Linked DNA regions of Saccharomyces cerevisiae S288C. Changing the gene in region 2 together with the main gene of any one other region gives a genetic interaction. Each region holds a gene or a part of one and is shown on either strand. Other genes may lie near its edges.

Region 1 (6,113 bases), on a different chromosome or scaffold from region 2:
ATAAATGGACTAAGGATCTGGGTTGTTGGTCGTTATATAAATAATAAGCTTATACCCCTTCCTTTGGACAAGTTTTTTCCCTCATAATTACGTCTATATTTTATAAATATCATTGTAGTATTCGCATTGTTTAAGTGGTTACCATTTGAAACGACTCATACAGACAAGCGGTTACAGATGAAGCTTTCTGAAGGCACAGATCAGAAGTATTTTAATGTCGGTTGTCTATTAGTGGAACCAAAGTGACTACACACCTCCTCTGTCTGGAAGAAATAAATTCTTAGGGTCGACTCCACCATTTCAACTTTAGTATAATATGACAATAAAACATTATTGGGACTGAGAACGATTATATTAAAATTAGTAAAATACATACATAACTACTTATAAAAAAAAAAAGAGAAATTTGCCATTTTCACGAGTATAAGCACAGATTGTACGAAACTATTTCATATAGCTTGTTTTAGTTATTATCCTATAAAATCTTAAAATACATTAATCTAGAATCCAAACGGATTTGATGCAGTAGCATTGAATATGTTGGCTTGCCTTGATTGTTGAGGTCCATTACCAAACCCAAATCCAGTAGGTTGGTTCTGTAATGCTTGTTGTTGTGGTTGTTGCATAGCACCCCCAGTGTTAAAAGTGTTCATCATCTGTGGTTGTTGCATAATTCCATCGGTGTTGAATGTGTTCATCATCTGTGGTTGTTGCATAGCACCACCAGTATTGAAAGTAGTCATCATTTGGAGCTCTTGCATAACACCACCAGTATTGAAGGTATTCATCGTTTGTGGTTGCTGTTGTTGAAGAACGCCCCCTGTACTTAAAGTATTCATGGCTCCACCAGTGAACTGGTTCTGGTTTAATGGCGCAATACCTCCGGTTTTTTGTAAAGTCAAACCGAATTGGGATTGCGGCCGGAACCCGCCAGTGTTTTGAGCTTGAGAGCTGAACGAAGTCTGGGGAATCATGGCGCCTCCAGTATTAAATGTATTCAAAGCACCACCAGTTCTCTGCAAAGGCATCATTGCTCCCCCTGTAACTTGTGGTAAAGCATTGAAGGACGTTTGAGGCATCATTGCTCCTCCAGTAATTTGTGGTACAGCATTGAAGGATGTTTGAGGCATCATGGCACTCCCTGTATTTTGAGGTTGGGTCATCATTGCACCACCTGTTAATTGCTGTGAAACGCCAAATGATGTTTGTGGAATCATAGTGCCGCCTGTTCTTTGTACAGTTGGCATTGAGACACCAGTATTAGCTGAAATTAATCCATTAGCAGTTTTTTGGACAGGTAATATTGAACCTGTTGGAAGTTGTTGTTGCCCCTGAACATTGAATGAAGTTTGCGGGAATTGCGCACCTCCTGTGGTGGCAATTGGTATTAGGCCACCTCCAGTTTTTTGCAGAGGTAAGACGGTAGCTGCTGCGCCGAACGTAGTTTGTGGCATCATTGCGCCGCCAGTGTTAGAGATAGGAATTAACCCATTTCCTGTCTTTTGAACAGGTAGGATACCACCAGTAACTTGCGATTGCATACCAAAAGTTGTTTGTGGTACAACGAAGCCGCCGGTTCTTTGCATAGGCAGCATATCGCCCCCAGTAATCATTGGCATCATCACAAAGCCAGTAGATAAGGGTAAGATATTGTTGCCACCGGTTTTGAATGGATCCAATGGAGCGGGAGCAGATGAAACCGGAGCAGATGAAACCGGAGCAGCAGGAACAGTGGTGCCGCCAGTTTTCACGGGTTCCAAATCTTTTAGGTTTGGTTCAGGTGTCGAGGCAGCTGCCTTTTTAGGTTCTAAAGGTTGCAAGTCTAATAAATCCTGCATGGAACCAGTAAATTCTGATTTCTTAGAGAGTAAATTAGATTCAGACTTAGAAGCCGGTTTAACAGTCCAAGCATCATCTGTCTCAGCTGATGTGGAAGGAGCTGTTTGAGCAGGACTTGTTGTTTGTGGCAACAATTGCTGAGGCAGTGAGGTTTCCGGACTTGTAGCAACGTTCAATGAACCATCAGGTTGTGAAAACATATTTCCAGTGGCATTTGTAGGAATTGATGCAATATTTTCTCTTCCAAATTTCTTGTCAAGATGTTTCATTACTCTAACAATATCACCTTCGCGCAGACCCAAGGTTCTTAACATTGAGTTATTGATGTCAGGCATCATGTCTTCAGTAAGCTGTTCTCTATCAAAATTTATTGTATATCTTTGACAATTGCTTACATCAACGCCGCAATTCAAGAAAAATTCGAACCAATCATATTTGTTACTGGAGTTGTTGTTATTGCTGCTTTCGGCTGGTGGTACGGACGTCGTATTTGGAACGGAGGTAGTAGAGGTTGGTCTTGGTGGTTTTATTGGAGGCAATTCCTTTTCTTGCAACCTTGATCTTTCTTCATCTAGGAGTTCTCTGGCTTTTTTCAATTCGTATAATTCACGCTCTTTCAATCTCCTATCGCGTTCTTTTTCCTCCTGCTCCTTCAATCTCCTTCTTCTTTCTCTTTCAGAGTCTCTTGAATCAGTGCCACGGGAACTAGACCCATCATTCGCCTTAAATTTCTCTAAGGAGAACCCAGTAATTTTTTCCACATACGCTAAATCTTCATTGGATAGTTTATCAGCGGCGACAGCAATCTTGACACCATTAGCCTTGTGCAAGTGGATTTTCCCCTTAGCACATCCAATGAATTCTGCATCCACTTTGAAAGTACCACTTCTATCAACCCATAGACGCGATTTTTTTGGATTGGGGAAATCTTTGGTCGCCGAAGAGTTTTTTTTGTGAGAGGACAATGAACTTTTTCTTGACCTTTTACCGGCAGCACTACCTACAACATCGTTTTGTAGTTCATCATCTTTCCAACTGGCATTGGCATTGGATTTAGATCTTGATCTAGATCTCGACCTAGATGGAGATTTGGTGAAGTTTTTCTTGATAGACTTGATGATACCGCTTGCTGTAGATTCAGTATGTTTTTTGTCACGAACAGGCTCAATAAACTGTGCAGGAACGAGACCGCTTTTCCCTGAATCAACCAGTTGGCACATCCACCAGTCCTTAGATTTTTTATCATCTAAAATGTAGACTTTATCGCCTGATTTTATGGTTAATTCGTCCTGTGATTCAGCCATGAAGTCATATTGAACAATACCTCTCTTTTTGGATTTGGAAGCCATTTCGACTTCTCTCAACCCAGGATCACGGGAAGCACCTTTATATTCACCAATAATGTTCATGATCTCTTCACATGTGGTGGTATTACCAGTGTGTAATTCAAGGCTTCTATATGGATCAACAAATTCCAAGAACATGTGTTTCTTTTCGTTATCATAAGAGACCAATTTATCAATTGACCACTCATGAGGAGTCCCCTTTTGGGGTATGAAGTTTATCTTGTTGTTACCGATTGATAGCTTGGCCTTCTTCTTTTTCCTTCCCTCGATTTCGGTAACGTTCCAAGAGTGATACTCTGTATTGTATTCGTGATTTCCAACGTTGTTGCTGTTGCTGTTGTAATAGTAATCATCCTCTTCATCGTCATTATCGTTATCGCTGTATGATAGTCTTGTACGAGATCGAACAGCCGCAGCGGTGGCATCAGTAGTTTCGGTAGTAGCCGTTGGTCTTGCAGGCATGGCAGGAGGAGGGCCCTCTTCATCCTCATCTGGAGCTTGGTCTTCTTTACTTTGCATCATACGAGCTCTATCATTGTGTTGAGGAGGTGGTAAAAAGTTGGTGGGTAGTACGGCAGCAGAAGCAGGAGCGGCTGCAGGAGTAGCTGCAGGAGCTTCAGCGGCAGCGGGAGCCTGTTCCTGCTTGGAAGTGGACCCATTCTCTGGTTCGACGTAATTGCCTGGAATGAAGCCGAATTCATTGGAAACGGTAGACTTAACCAACAGCCAATCAGCATCTTTATCATCGAATACATCAAAAACGTCATTTTCATGAAACGTCAATTCTTCATCAGCATTTTGCACCTGTTCATAATCATAAATGGCTCTTACCTTCTTCAAAACAGGAGCTTCTTCAATGTAAGTGGAGGGCACTAGACCCACCGGTTCTTCGCTATCGGAACCAATGACTCTTTTCTTTACTGTCCACCAATCGTCAATGTCTGACTTCTGTAAGAGGTACAACAGATCGTCTTCTTGGATGGCCAGTTCTTCTGGTGTCTGCGGCTCATAGGCATAGACGGCCCTATAGATGCCCAGAAACACAGTCATACTCTAGCTCTTTTGTATATAACACACTCTGTCGCCTTGGCTATGTTACACTATCCCTTCTTTTAGGATTGCAATAGATATACATAGTATATATGCGCTAAATATTCGTTCTGTTTTCGTCTGATGTATCTCGATTTCGCATGAGTGGAAGGAAGCCCCTTTTAGGAATCGTATAGTCACTTTCTACGAAGCAACATTCTACCTCTATCAATTACATGGTTTAATCTACGCAGGCATGTTCTCTAAGTTGAGACCGCCTATGGGAACCTATAAATCGTGATTGACACCGTTTGCATATTATCACTTTTCTTTTCCTTTTAGCCTCGCTATTCCTGGGGCTCTCTATGTGTGATTGGAAGGGTAGAGACAATTGTCCTGCGCCGGCAAGAAAAACATCGTGTGTCTCTAGAGCAGCTTTGCATTCTAATGTGCGGTGGAAATGGTGCGAAAAGTCGACACTTGACAGGGCTTCCAACTGCTGGCGTGGCACATAACTGCCCAGCAGTGAATGGCCTACTTCATACTCCACCTGTGCCGCATCGGCGAGCGACACTTTACCGCCTAGGTAACCATGTACAGCTACTCTTTTGGGCTTGGATACCTTCGCTTTACTATTCTCACTGCCCTCTATGCCCTTGTCGGTAGCATGAGATTGTTGCGTAAGCTGTTGAAGCTCAGTCGCACTGAACACTACCTGGGATGACTTTTCCAGCGCTGAAAGCCCTGCGAGTACGTCATAGTATCCCATATTACTTCCACTCATTCTCAGCTATTCCTTGTTAACACCGTGCTCTGCTGCTTTCAGGTAAAGCCATTATTTCCACGACAACTGCATTTCACTTTTCATTTTCTTCCAGAACAACAGGCGCTGCCCTTGTTTCCGCGGAGCTGCCTCCTCTGCCGCTCGGACTTTCCGCGGAATAATAAATGAACTATCACAGTGAGTCTTAGAATGCAAATATGTAGATACTGTTATAGAATCTCATTAATGTATTTATGTATTTCCTGTGTTTGTGTCTTCAGGAGCCTTCCAAAGCAACCATAGGTCTTAGGCGACAACTGCATCAGCAGTTTTATTAATTTTTTCTTATTGCGTGACCGCAATGAAAGTGAAGAAATCAACTAGATCAAAAGTTTCGACAGCATGTGTCAATTGCAGAAAAAGGAAAATCAAATGCACAGGTAAATATCCATGTACCAACTGCATTTCTTACGATTGTACGTGTGTATTCCTAAAAAAACATTTACCGCAGAAGGAGGATAGTTCCCAGTCTTTGCCTACTACAGCTGTTGCTCCACCCTCTTCCCACGCCAATGTAGAGGCTTCAGCAGATGTACAGCATCTGGACACTGCGATTAAGCTAGATAATCAATATTACTTCAAACTGATGAACGACCTGATACAGACTCCAGTCTCTCCGAGTGCGACGCATGCTCCTGATACTTCCAATAATCCTACTAATGATAATAATATTCTCTTTAAAGATGATTCCAAATATCAAAATCAACTGGTTACGTATCAAAATATTCTGACAAATTTGTACGCTCTGCCGCCTTGTGATGACACTCAGCTCTTGATTGATAAAACGAAGTCGCAGTTGAATAACCTGATTAACAGTTGGAATCCCGAAATAAACTACCCCAAGCTTTCCAGTTTCTCTCCTCGCCCACAAAGATCGATAGAAACGTATCTTTTAACCAACAAGTATAGAAATAAAATACACATGACGAGGTTCTCCTTTTGGACAGACCAAATGGTTAAATCACAAAGTCCAGATTCATTTCTAGCCACCACTCCACTAGTAGATGAAGTATTTGGTCTTTTCTCTCCAATACAGGCTTTTTCACTAAGAGGTATAGGATATTTAATTAAAAAAA
Region 2 (3,919 bases):
CGAGTCCTTTCTTTGAGATATTAACTTGGAGTACATGTCGTACAGGGAGTACTCATCAGCGCTCTTCCCTTTTAAAGCAATTTCTTTGTTTTTTATGGCAGATAACATATTTCTGATTGCTGTCTTCTTCATCTCATCCTTGGCAATCATAGCCTTTTTCAAATCTCCTTTCAATAGGCTGACTGCAGCCGTGTAGGCTGGAGAACTGTTATAACGAATGAAGGTTAGTCTATTTGAAACAAGTGGCCTAATTGATTGTCTGAACATCTTGGAATAGTGTTATTTGCTGTATTCCCCAACTTTATCCCAAAGTCTTTTTTCTCCAGTTCATTACTTCTGTAAAAAATGTTGCAGATCCTTTTTCTTCCCTTTAATTTTGAGTCCTTCCCCCCGAAAAGTCCCAGATGCCGGGTAGATGTGATTTATATCATTTATCGTTTATAGAGTATAAATTGGGTGATGCTACACTAAGTACGTATGCTCTTCTGAACTAGACTTAGTTTGCCCGATTAGTCTTTCTCACTCTCTTTCTCGAGGTAGTTGGTCCAAAGCGATACAAAGCTTTCCGTTCTCGATACAGCGCTTGAATTCTTAGACTCATTATTCGAGATCAAGCCGGCCTGTTGTTTCTTATCTTCATCCCAGTTTAAGAAATTGGACAGTAATTCAAGAACTTCAAACTTTCTTGGGTCTGCTCTGGGTATGGACACGAAAGATATCAATAGATTGGATATCAGTTCTTTATCAACGGATTCAGAATCGCTTGATTTCTTCAACATGGCCAGTGCCTTTGTTAAATGCTCATTTAGTATAATGGCTTCGTGACGTAGTTTTCCGATCTGTAAGATGTGCTGCTTAGATTCTTCCTCATATTTTTCCTTCATAGAGGCGTCCTCCTTCATGGCTTCTAGCTGTTTTTTCATGCTTTCTAAAGCTTCTGTGTCATTGTTGTGCGTTTCTATCTCCGTGTCAAGTTGGGATCGTAAAGATTTGACTTCCTGGTCTCTCTCTCTAGCCTCTTCTTCCCTTTTGTTGTCAACTTCTTCTATCTTCAATTCCAGATCATTTAGAGAATTCTTTAATACTGCTTTCTCCTTTTCATGGGATTCCAAAGCCTGTCTCAATTCATCTCTTTCTGTTCTCAAGTCAGATATATCTTGTTTATTATTTTCTAAGATTATCATGAGTTCCTGAACTTGGAGATTTAATTGATCTTTTTCCTTCCTGTAAGTGTTAAGTTCCTTACTATGTTTTTCAATTATGTCGTGTTTTTCATCTTCCAAAGCTTCTATCCTTGATTCGTATTCCAAAAAAACCTCTTCTGTACTTTCTTGCTCCTTTTCTAGGTTTTCTAACTCTGTATTTAGGGTCACAATCGTGGATTGTAATTCAGAGTTTTCGGTCTTGGTAGCTTCAAGTTTCTTCTTCAATTTCAGATTTTGTGATTCATATTCAGTAAGCTGCTCCTGCACTTCCTCTAATTGTTTTTGTGCTTCTTTCATCTTATTAAAAATTGATTTCATAGAAGATATCTTGCTCAATAATGTGTCATACTGTGTTTTGAATTCGTCTCTTTCCTTAATAACATTTGCTAGTTCATTTTTGAAGTCTTCATTAGGCGTTTCTTGATCCTTCTTGTGGCTTAGTTCCAATTTTAAACGTTCAATTTCTTCCCTTAGTTCCTTCATCTCATCACCAGCCTTTTTGTCCTCTAAAGGATTTATGGTGTCTACAGTCAGGCCGTCATTTACTTTTTGTTTGTCTACTCCTTCAGAGAGATCTTTCCCCTCATCGTCCGGGCTTGCCACGATACCATCAGCCTCTGGATCTGTGGACATTTTTGGAGGAACGGTGACGTTTACAGAATTGATGATTTCTTCAGGTTTATTGACGGTTTCATCAACGTCCTCCACATGAGGATGACTCTTGGCCTTCTTACCTGTTTTCTTCTTATTTTTACCCATTCTAATTAAAAAAAATGCAATTGTTTGAGGGGATCAAGTGGAAAGTATACACAAGCATCTACTATATAGCTGTTTATACAAGATTTTCTTGTTCTTCATGAATGGTCTTTCTGTTTGTTTCCATTTTTCGTATCGAAATGAGCACGAAATTCAAAAAGAAGTACTGAAAAAAAAATCAACATGAGAAGGAACAGCCGATCTCTCAGCGAAAACAGTGGCTTCGTTGAATACGCTGCTTGATCCTTACACAATAAGGAATTGGGTATCTCGCAGTTAATTTTATAACTTCAAGTCACTTCATAATAAACTAAGCTGAAGAAAATGGTCAATATTTCTGATTTCTTTGGTAAAAATAAGAAATCCGTAAGATCGTCAACATCCAGACCTACGAGACAGGTGGGTTCGTCTAAACCAGAAGTTATCGACTTAGATACTGAATCTGACCAAGAATCAACCAATAAAACACCAAAGAAGATGCCTGTAAGTAATGTAATTGATGTATCAGAGACACCTGAAGGAGAAAAAAAGCTACCTCTTCCCGCTAAGAGGAAGGCCTCTTCACCAACTGTAAAGCCAGCAAGTTCAAAAAAAACCAAACCCTCCTCTAAAAGTTCAGACTCGGCTTCGAATATTACGGCTCAAGATGTACTAGATAAGATTCCATCCTTGGATCTGTCAAATGTTCATGTGAAAGAGAATGCTAAATTTGATTTCAAAAGCGCAAATTCAAATGCGGATCCAGATGAAATTGTTTCTGAAATAGGTAGTTTTCCAGAAGGAAAGCCAAATTGTTTATTAGGTCTAACAATTGTCTTCACAGGTGTTCTGCCAACCTTGGAGCGTGGTGCATCGGAAGCTTTAGCGAAAAGATACGGAGCAAGGGTTACTAAATCAATTTCAAGCAAAACTTCTGTAGTAGTCTTAGGTGATGAAGCAGGGCCAAAGAAACTAGAAAAAATCAAGCAATTGAAAATCAAAGCCATAGACGAAGAAGGCTTTAAGCAATTAATTGCTGGGATGCCTGCTGAAGGTGGTGACGGGGAAGCTGCCGAAAAAGCACGTCGAAAATTAGAAGAACAGCATAATATTGCTACCAAAGAAGCAGAATTGCTTGTTAAGAAAGAAGAGGAAAGGTCGAAGAAGCTTGCAGCCACTAGAGTTTCTGGTGGCCATCTGGAGAGAGACAATGTGGTTAGGGAAGAAGATAAATTGTGGACAGTAAAGTACGCACCAACGAATCTACAACAGGTCTGTGGTAACAAAGGAAGTGTAATGAAATTAAAAAACTGGTTGGCTAATTGGGAAAATTCAAAGAAAAATAGTTTTAAACATGCTGGTAAAGATGGCTCTGGTGTTTTCAGGGCTGCAATGTTATACGGTCCTCCTGGTATTGGGAAGACAACTGCTGCTCATTTAGTTGCACAAGAGCTTGGGTATGACATTCTTGAACAAAACGCTTCTGATGTTCGCTCTAAAACTTTACTTAATGCCGGTGTTAAAAACGCTCTTGATAACATGTCTGTAGTGGGATATTTCAAACACAACGAAGAAGCTCAAAATTTGAACGGGAAACATTTTGTCATTATCATGGATGAAGTTGATGGTATGAGCGGAGGCGATAGGGGGGGAGTTGGCCAGCTGGCACAGTTTTGTCGTAAGACGTCAACTCCATTGATTCTAATTTGTAATGAACGTAATTTACCAAAAATGAGACCATTCGATAGAGTATGTCTTGATATCCAATTTAGAAGACCTGATGCTAACAGTATCAAATCAAGATTAATGACAATTGCGATCAGAGAAAAGTTCAAACTTGATCCAAATGTCATTGATAGGTTGATACAGACTACAAGAGGTGATATCCGCCAGGTTATTAATCTACTTTCAACGATATCTACGACTACTAAAACCATAAACCATGAAAATATCAACGAGATCTCAAAGGCATGGGAAAA
Region 3 (2,993 bases), on a different chromosome or scaffold from region 2:
GATCCCGTTCCGTACAGAAGAATTAACGGGAAACAAATTTTGAACAGTGAATGGGGAAGGGAGATAAAATGCTGCCATAATGGGCGCGCATTGAAATAAACGAGTACTTCACTTTCAAATATCACGATATTTTGGAACAATTCGGTATTTTTTACTTAATCTAGTACACTAAGGAATGCTTTGTTATCCGGCATTCGTATCTTATTCCTCGCTTCTATTGTTCTACTTTTATATCCCGTTTGGCTGATTACGGATCACGTTCAAATTGGTAAATCCCATTAATTAAAAAAGAATTGTAACCTTATTTAAAAAAAAAAATAGTACATAACAATAAAAAAAAAAAAGATAATAATTTTGAATTTATTGCTAGACATTCTTACGTTTATTGTGTTCATGTTAACAAAAACACATGCCCGCGGTTATTATCGCTTTTTAATTGCTTTCTTAAAAAGAGTCGGTTGGTCAGATAGAGCAGATAGTAAATTATAGTGCTATTTAGGTCTGTTAATTTAAATGAAAGAAACATAAATGACCGTAAAAAACTAAAGGCAAAAGCATTAATTTATTTTATCCCGAGCGCACAAATATCTAGGCTTGTCATTTGTCCTAATAGTTCTTCGATTTTAGTGTCTAATAACCCATTGGCATAGTCGTCTCTTGATTGTTGGTCCAAATATTGTTGAATCTGCGCTAAACGAGTGTAACCATCAGTACAGAACCTTAGCTGAATCTTGATTAAAGCTTCAAAACTTGGGTCAAAGTAAGGTACTCTTAATGAAACTAACTGTGGTAGTTCAGTTTTCAATTGGTTATTAAGATTTTCGAAAATATCTTTAGCTAAGCTCAATTCTTTTTCAGCCCTTGGCAGTTTAGAGGCATCTTTAGCAGGTTTGTCCACTAATCTACGAACTTTTGCCTTCGCAGCATCGAAGTCTTGTTTCTTATGGTCTCTCTTTTTTATGGCCTCCTCAATTTCTTTGAAATACGTCGAAAACTTTGTTATTGGATCTAGTACGGTTTCTCTTAAGGGCCCGTCTAATTGCTTAACAGTTTCGCTATCAAAATCTTGAACACATTGCAAATAATAGTTACCAACGTTGTAACCACCACCAGCAACATATTTTGAATCGTCATAGAGGTTAGAGATGACCTCGGCAATGGTAGTCTGTGATGCTGTCACAGCTCTCAATGAGTCCAAGAAACCTTTGGCTTCCTTTTGTAATGCCTCACCTGCTCTTTGAAGAACTTTATAACGACGTTCTTCCATGTCATACTCTTTATCAATGGTCTTGTCGACATTCTTAATTATCACACTGTGACCAGCTCTGTTGATAGCTTTCTTAAAACCTTCCCAACTCATCTTGTATCAGCTTTCTTCTGGCTTCTTATAATAGGATTTGTATAGTTTTCTATATCACAGCGTTTCCTTTTCTTCTCTCACGTCTGCCTGTTATTAAATTTGTTTTCCCTTTCTTTTAATTCGGATTCTCATAATTGTTCAAAATCCGCGCATTTGGATCGTCCAGCCCCTGCAGCGCCCAGTTCAGCCAACAAAAATTCATAGGGACGTAAAGGAAACGTTTCATGTCTGTTACAATGAAAAAGACAAGTCGAATCACATTATGAATGGCAAACGATAGACCTTTCGTTGCCTTTCAATTACATGATATTCGTGGCAACATCTTCTCCGCTAACCTAAAAGTTTTATCAGAAACATATATCTTATTTTTTCTGAAGTAAAATCAAAGTGCAGGGAAGACAAGTAAAGGAGTCAGCAAAAAAGTGAAGTAAACTTATATGTTAACTGTTTATAACCGTACCTTGCTTACATCATCTATATTTTCGTAATCATTTTTGTACATTGTTTATATCTTGTTTTGAAGTTTTAGCTTTGAAAAACATTTAATTGCGAAGTAACATAATGTTATTAATAGTGTACGACTGAAACAGCCATTCTATTTAAACATATAAAAGTACGATTAGTTGGTGTGGTTATATAAGTCATAAAATAATTATCATATTAAAAAATTGAAAAATAAAAAACTACTCTTTTTTATTTCAATAGTTCTCGTTATTAGTAGGTCGTGCTCTTAAAAGATTACCCTTTCAGTAGATGGTAATGGGAATGGACGAGCCAGTACATATGAATTCTGCTTTGTAGCAACACCTGCATATGCGTTGTACCAAGCAATGAAAGCAACAACAACTCCCAGGACACCACCAGCTCTTGTGACACCAAGTCTATTAGCAAAGTGACCAATAGACAACAGTAGGAAAGTTAATGCTAGTAAGAAGAACAACAAAAAGAACATAACAGTGGATTTCATGGTACAAACGGTTAAACCAAACGTAAAGATGGCCCACCCCAACAAATAAAATCCTAAAGCATTATTCAAATCAGATTCATTGTCTTCGTAAGCTTCCAAGATACCAAACCAAGGAATGTAAATTGCAGCGAAACTCAACCAAAACCCACCGTAAGAACATAATGCGGTACCACCAAAAGTATTTTCCAAAGCTATCTCCCAAATACCAGCAATCAATTGCACCAAACCACCATAAAACATAGCACAACCGACGACAACATTAGGAACAGTGATCCCTTGCGCTCTCGCATTGAACATGGACAGCACAAATGTCGTCAACGCGAAGGCTGAAAGACCTAAGGGCGCAGGATTAGCAAATTTGTGCACTGGAGCAGGAGCTAACCCTGGATTCAAGGTACCACCAAAGGCTTGGTATAAGTCGCTCTTCAAAAACTTTTGACGCCCAATATAGATATATTCATTGTTATCACCTCCAGTGTAAATCTTGCCCAACGAATCATGAGATGGACGTTCATCTTCTGCAACGCCATTAACGTCGTTATCATGGGAACTATAGTATCCTGCTGGTGCATTCTCCAAATCTGTGTTTCCGCTCGTTTGTTCCTTGTCAGACATATTATTTGTTTGTATATGAGTTGTTTTGTGGTTGTTTAGTTATATCTGTGT
Region 4 (4,424 bases), 290 kb from region 2:
CGATGGGTGTGATGCTGGACGACTATATTAGGTCATTGGCAAGCGTAAAAGCAATTTTCAATCAGAGATCCAAATTGGGGTATTTCTTGGTAGTAATAGAAAATGACATGAATAAGAAACACTCACAATTGGGCAAATTGGGTCAAAATATTCATTCAGAAAAATTCAGAGAAATGAGAAAGGAATTTCAAACATTGGAGAGAAGGTATAACCTTACAAAAAAACAATGGCAAGCGGTAGGAGATAAAATAAAAGATGAATTCCAAGGTTTCTCTACTGATAAAATTCGGGAATTCCGAAACGGCATGGAAATATCACTAGAAGCGGCCATTGAATCTCAAAAAGAATGCATCGAGCTTTGGGAGACATTCTACCAAACCAATCTTTAGATGATCTGTATACAATAACTTTATGTGTCACGTTCCTCAGGATTTATGAATTAGGAGATTTTTGTTTTATATTATTACATACTATACAGTAAGTAAAATGAATAGGTCCGTTTACAGCCAGTGCGACGTAGCATCTTTGTAAAGAGATTGCCAAATAAAGGCTTCGCTCAGAAGCATTTCAATATCCGTTTCAGTCCAGTCCTTTGTAGGAGGGTTCTGTAAGAAAGTTATAGTTTCTTGGAAATCCATTTCCATTAGCTGGTCACTCCACTTGATGAGGAATGCAGCACAAACAAACACATGAAACTCATTCAACGAAGACTGTCTCATTTTTCCACTGTCTTCAACAGCATTGTTTGGTGTCATATTAGAAAGAGCTGTGGTGGGAGATTGGAAATCTTTTGTTGGTGTAACAAAACTTGCCACTCGAGGTTCTGTTGGAGTAACAGGAGGTTTAATGTCATTGGACGACATAGAATAAGAAGAAGTGACCTCTTGTGAAGTTTCAGATAAATATGTGTCCCACATCCTTATTACTGTACCCATTTGAAATTCTCTCATCAAAAGGCAATTCATCCATCTGAATGCAAACTGTATAAACTCCACATGTTCATTTTGAAAATGGTTATATAGATCAGCATCAATTCGTTTCACTAGCTGACTCAAATTCTTCACTTGTCTTAATATGCCTGGTTGTCCGTGAATATAGTTATCGGTAATTTGTTCGAGCAATTTGGTAAGACACCAAAACGTGTCCGCTTCTAAATCTGTAATCTGTTCATCTACCATATAAGTAGAGGGGTCCTTTATCTCTACATCATCTATTTGTGAAGGCGGCAGATATTCGGTAAGAAAAGTCTCGAAAAATGGTGTAACTAAATCATTAATACCTTGCACATATCCGCTAGCAGGATGCCTGATTGCCCAAAGATATAGTATTCGTTGTAAACTGTTCTGTACGGATTTGAACTGGTAGAGGGGAATGTGGGGATTTGTTCTCGGTATATCTATCTCTATCTGATGCCAAGTTGGGATATCTCTTGAGTGCTGGTCAGAAAAGGTATGTTTCAGACTATCCCTATATTCTTTCCTCTTCCTTTGTAAGAAACCCTCCTGTCTCTTGGTGTTCACAGGCAAATAACCTATTAATAATTTCCAAACAACAGGCCTGTGTATTTTTGGGATACCATTCCAACTGATCTGGCGCAGATCCTGTTGATTTATGATTGTCTTATCTTTCAAAATATTGTCAAATTTAGAAATGCGCTGGATGATGGAGTTTAATTCTTGAACATCCCGTTCGTTTTCGATTTCCAACTGAGTTTTCTTGGAATCATTTGTTTTCTCTTTTTGCAGCTGTGGTAATTGAGGGTATGTAAAAGAGGAGGAAGAATTCCGTACTGCGGAGGTCCCCATATTCGAAATCGAATTGATGGAAGAAGAAGTGGATTTTCGCGACAAAGTTCTCGTTGGAGCTACAGGTGTACCAAATCCACCGTTAGTAAGTATAGGAATAGGCATATTATAATCGTCAATAACAGCACTCCAATCCTCATCTAAGTCTTTGAAATATCGATCACCCTTTTTGTTAGGCTCTGTACTGTTACTGCAATTGTTGCCTACACTACCACTACTGCTATGGCGGGGTTGTTGATGGTGGTGATGACGCTGGTGATGCTGACGTAAGAGTAAAGCAGGCCGGGGACTTTCGTTACTTGCAGTGCTTAGAGTGGGGTTTACATATCGTAGAGGTGAATAGGAATTCGAGGTACGTCTAGTGCTTGCTTGTTGCTTTGCCATAGCTTCAAAATTACCGTCACTGGTTCTCCGATCTCTATCTGCCGAGGAAGCATAACCCGAGGGTAAACTAGTAGATTCAGTAGTATTCATTTTGTATAACGATGGCTTCTTGGAGGAAGAAGCCGACGATATCCTCCAAGATTTCATCAGGGAAGTTACTAAACTGGAACTGTCCGAATTATGGTCCCGTTCGTGCATTTCCTTTGCAGCGGATCTCACACCCATTATATGGTTACTTTTATTAAGTGGTCGGTATTGGTGGTTGTTGTTGTTATTTGTATCCTTGATCTACTCTCCAATAATAGTTATAAAAATAGAAAGAAAACAAAACAATTAACAGCAGGACAAAAGCCAAACACTATAGCAATCTGGCTATATGATATGCAGAAAATAGTGATTACTGTGCTCTTTGCTGCATCATGCATCATATGTTTGGCATTCTGTCCTGTCAGATGAATGGGCGAAACAATTCGGGGAGCTTTGTTGCGACTTGGTACCCGGCAAGCCGCGACCTATATTTTGCATTAAACGAGTTCATCGTGGATTTATCGCCATGAGCCTTAGCTTATCAAGCCTCTCACAGACAATTAAGCAATGAAAAAGGTATACCATCGGCGCAGAATGGTTAACTAGTGGGTTCATACTGCTGTGTTATAGATTGTTACCTAAGTGATCACCAAAAAAAAGTGCAAAAAGGAAAAAAAAATAAGAGACAGGTAACTTCCACAAGCTTATTCTTCCAAAAATCAATCTTATCTTCATGCCAGCAATAGTTGCGTGCTGAGCTCAACAGTGCCCAACCCTTGTGCACCGTAGAATTGTAGAATACAAATACATAAATAAGTGTGTTCCCGAAGGACTAAGGAATGACGGCAGAGGAGTCTTGTGACCGCCCTGCTGCAAAACTTGGCAAGGACAGAAATTAAGTAATAGATACGCACAACCTTGGAGCACCAAGAAATGGCTGCAAAAGTAAATCTATAGTATTTCAAGCTGAGATATGATAATATGTTCAAAGGGCTAAAGTCTCATGAAACAGCGTCACTACAAGTCACATAAAGTTCGTACAGCAAGTCTATGCATGCTTTCCTCAAAAGAACTACCCAAATATAAACACATATACAAAAATTCAGATTTTACATTTCAGGTTTCCATAATATGTTAAAAGCTAGATCTTACATAGTGTCGGGAACAGGTCATTCTAAAAAAAGTAAAATAAAATAAAAGGGTTTCAAAGATCCATACTTCTCTACATTCTCTGACTTTTTAAAACTGTGTACTGGCGACCAATCGACAAATCTGCAACCCCAGCTTCATAAGCTTTCTCTCCCACCAGCAAAGCCTGGACCTCCCTGGTTCTAATAATGAGCGACTGAAGTTTTCCAAAAGAAACCTTCACTAAACATGTTATGCTCCTCAATCACGCGATGAAATAAAGGCCTATTTTTTGATCCAACGCCTTTGAAAATTTCCTTATGGCTGGGTGGGGTACCTACCATGAACATGTTAAAGGTAAGTGGTGGCATATTATGGAGTTACGCCCGTATACCAGAGTAATAATGTTGCCGCCGGATAGGCATGGCGCCCCCACCGGATTCTCTTGCTATATGGATGGCATAATTAGCTTATGAAAGGATTGGTAAGAATATGTCTTCTAGCAAGAAAATACTAAGAACCAATAGTTCCTTTTTTTATAAAATTATTGAGCCATACACAATAATGCCGATATTTGTCACCATAGACATACTTGACAGTAAAGTATTTGCAGCTGAGGATCGATCTGGTAGTATTCCCAAATTGTAAGATCTGTACAGATTTTCAAATGAAGCGTTGAAGTTTCCTCTTTGTATATTTGAGATCTTCATTTTATCGGATTCTTTGTCATCAGACAACTTGTTGAGTGGTACTAAAGGAGTGCTTTTCATCATCCTTTTGGTGAACGATTTCAAATACGTTAGTGTTTTCTGAGCTAGTTTTGATCAATTCAGGTGATTCGTTATCAGAACTCTCAGGTTTGTATTCGTGTCCAGTTGTGTAGCATTCGCCTAACGTGTAAGCACGGATTTCTTCCTCAGAAATTTCACTGTATGGAATCATGCCCTTCTTTCTCGCTTCTTCGTCGGTAAATGCACCATAGTAATCTTTGTCATCATGTCTAACAGTAATTTTGAATGGGAAGAAGACACATAGCCCCCAGTAAACGAAAAAAGAAATCAAAAAGGAGAAGAAAGAATC

What was found.
Region 1: mutations in RUD3 (region 2) and SLA1 together harm fitness more than expected from each alone (negative genetic interaction), as found in Saccharomyces cerevisiae (5 studies listed by BioGRID).
Region 3: mutations in RUD3 (region 2) and RVS161 together harm fitness more than expected from each alone (negative genetic interaction), as found in Saccharomyces cerevisiae (6 studies listed by BioGRID, with this or other methods).
Region 4: mutations in RUD3 (region 2) and GYP1 together harm fitness more than expected from each alone (negative genetic interaction), as found in Saccharomyces cerevisiae (7 studies listed by BioGRID, with this or other methods).

Annotation. Positions count from the first base shown.
Region 1 is NC_001134.8:212,132-218,244, forward strand, and holds SLA1 (cytoskeletal protein-binding protein SLA1), read right to left. Parts: upstream 4,236-6,113; coding exon 501-4,235; downstream 1-500. Other genes in the region: HIR1 (Hir1p), read left to right, coding at 1-44; LDB7 (Ldb7p), read right to left, coding at 4,456-4,998; drug-responsive transcription factor PDR3, read left to right, coding at 5,339-6,113. UniProt on the Saccharomyces cerevisiae protein: Component of the PAN1 actin cytoskeleton-regulatory complex required for the internalization of endosomes during actin-coupled endocytosis. The complex links the site of endocytosis to the cell membrane-associated actin cytoskeleton.
Region 2 is NC_001147.6:747,016-750,934, forward strand, and holds RUD3 (Rud3p), read right to left. Parts: upstream 1,965-3,919; coding exon 510-1,964; downstream 1-509. Other genes in the region: AIM41 (Aim41p), read right to left, coding at 1-267; RFC1 (replication factor C subunit 1), read left to right, coding at 2,286-3,919. UniProt on the Saccharomyces cerevisiae protein: Involved in the structural organization of the cis-Golgi and in vesicle targeting/fusion stages of ER to Golgi transport.
Region 3 is NC_001135.5:130,183-133,175, forward strand, and holds RVS161 (amphiphysin-like protein RVS161), read right to left. Parts: upstream 1,361-2,993; coding exon 563-1,360; downstream 1-562. Other genes in the region: serine/threonine protein kinase SAT4, read left to right, coding at 1-99; ADY2 (Ady2p), read right to left, coding at 2,091-2,942. UniProt on the Saccharomyces cerevisiae protein: Component of a cytoskeletal structure that is required for the formation of endocytic vesicles at the plasma membrane level.
Region 4 is NC_001147.6:455,407-459,830, forward strand, and holds GYP1 (GTPase-activating protein GYP1), read right to left. Parts: upstream 2,415-4,424; coding exon 501-2,414; downstream 1-500. Other genes in the region: VPS5 (sorting nexin 1), read left to right, coding at 1-389; NRT1 (nicotinamide riboside transporter), read right to left, coding at 4,074-4,424. UniProt on the Saccharomyces cerevisiae protein: GTPase-activating protein (GAP) that stimulates specifically the intrinsic GTPase activity of Ypt/Rab-type GTPases YPT1 and YPT7. Functions on the Golgi as a negative regulator of YPT1. Functions on the vacuole as a negative regulator of YPT7.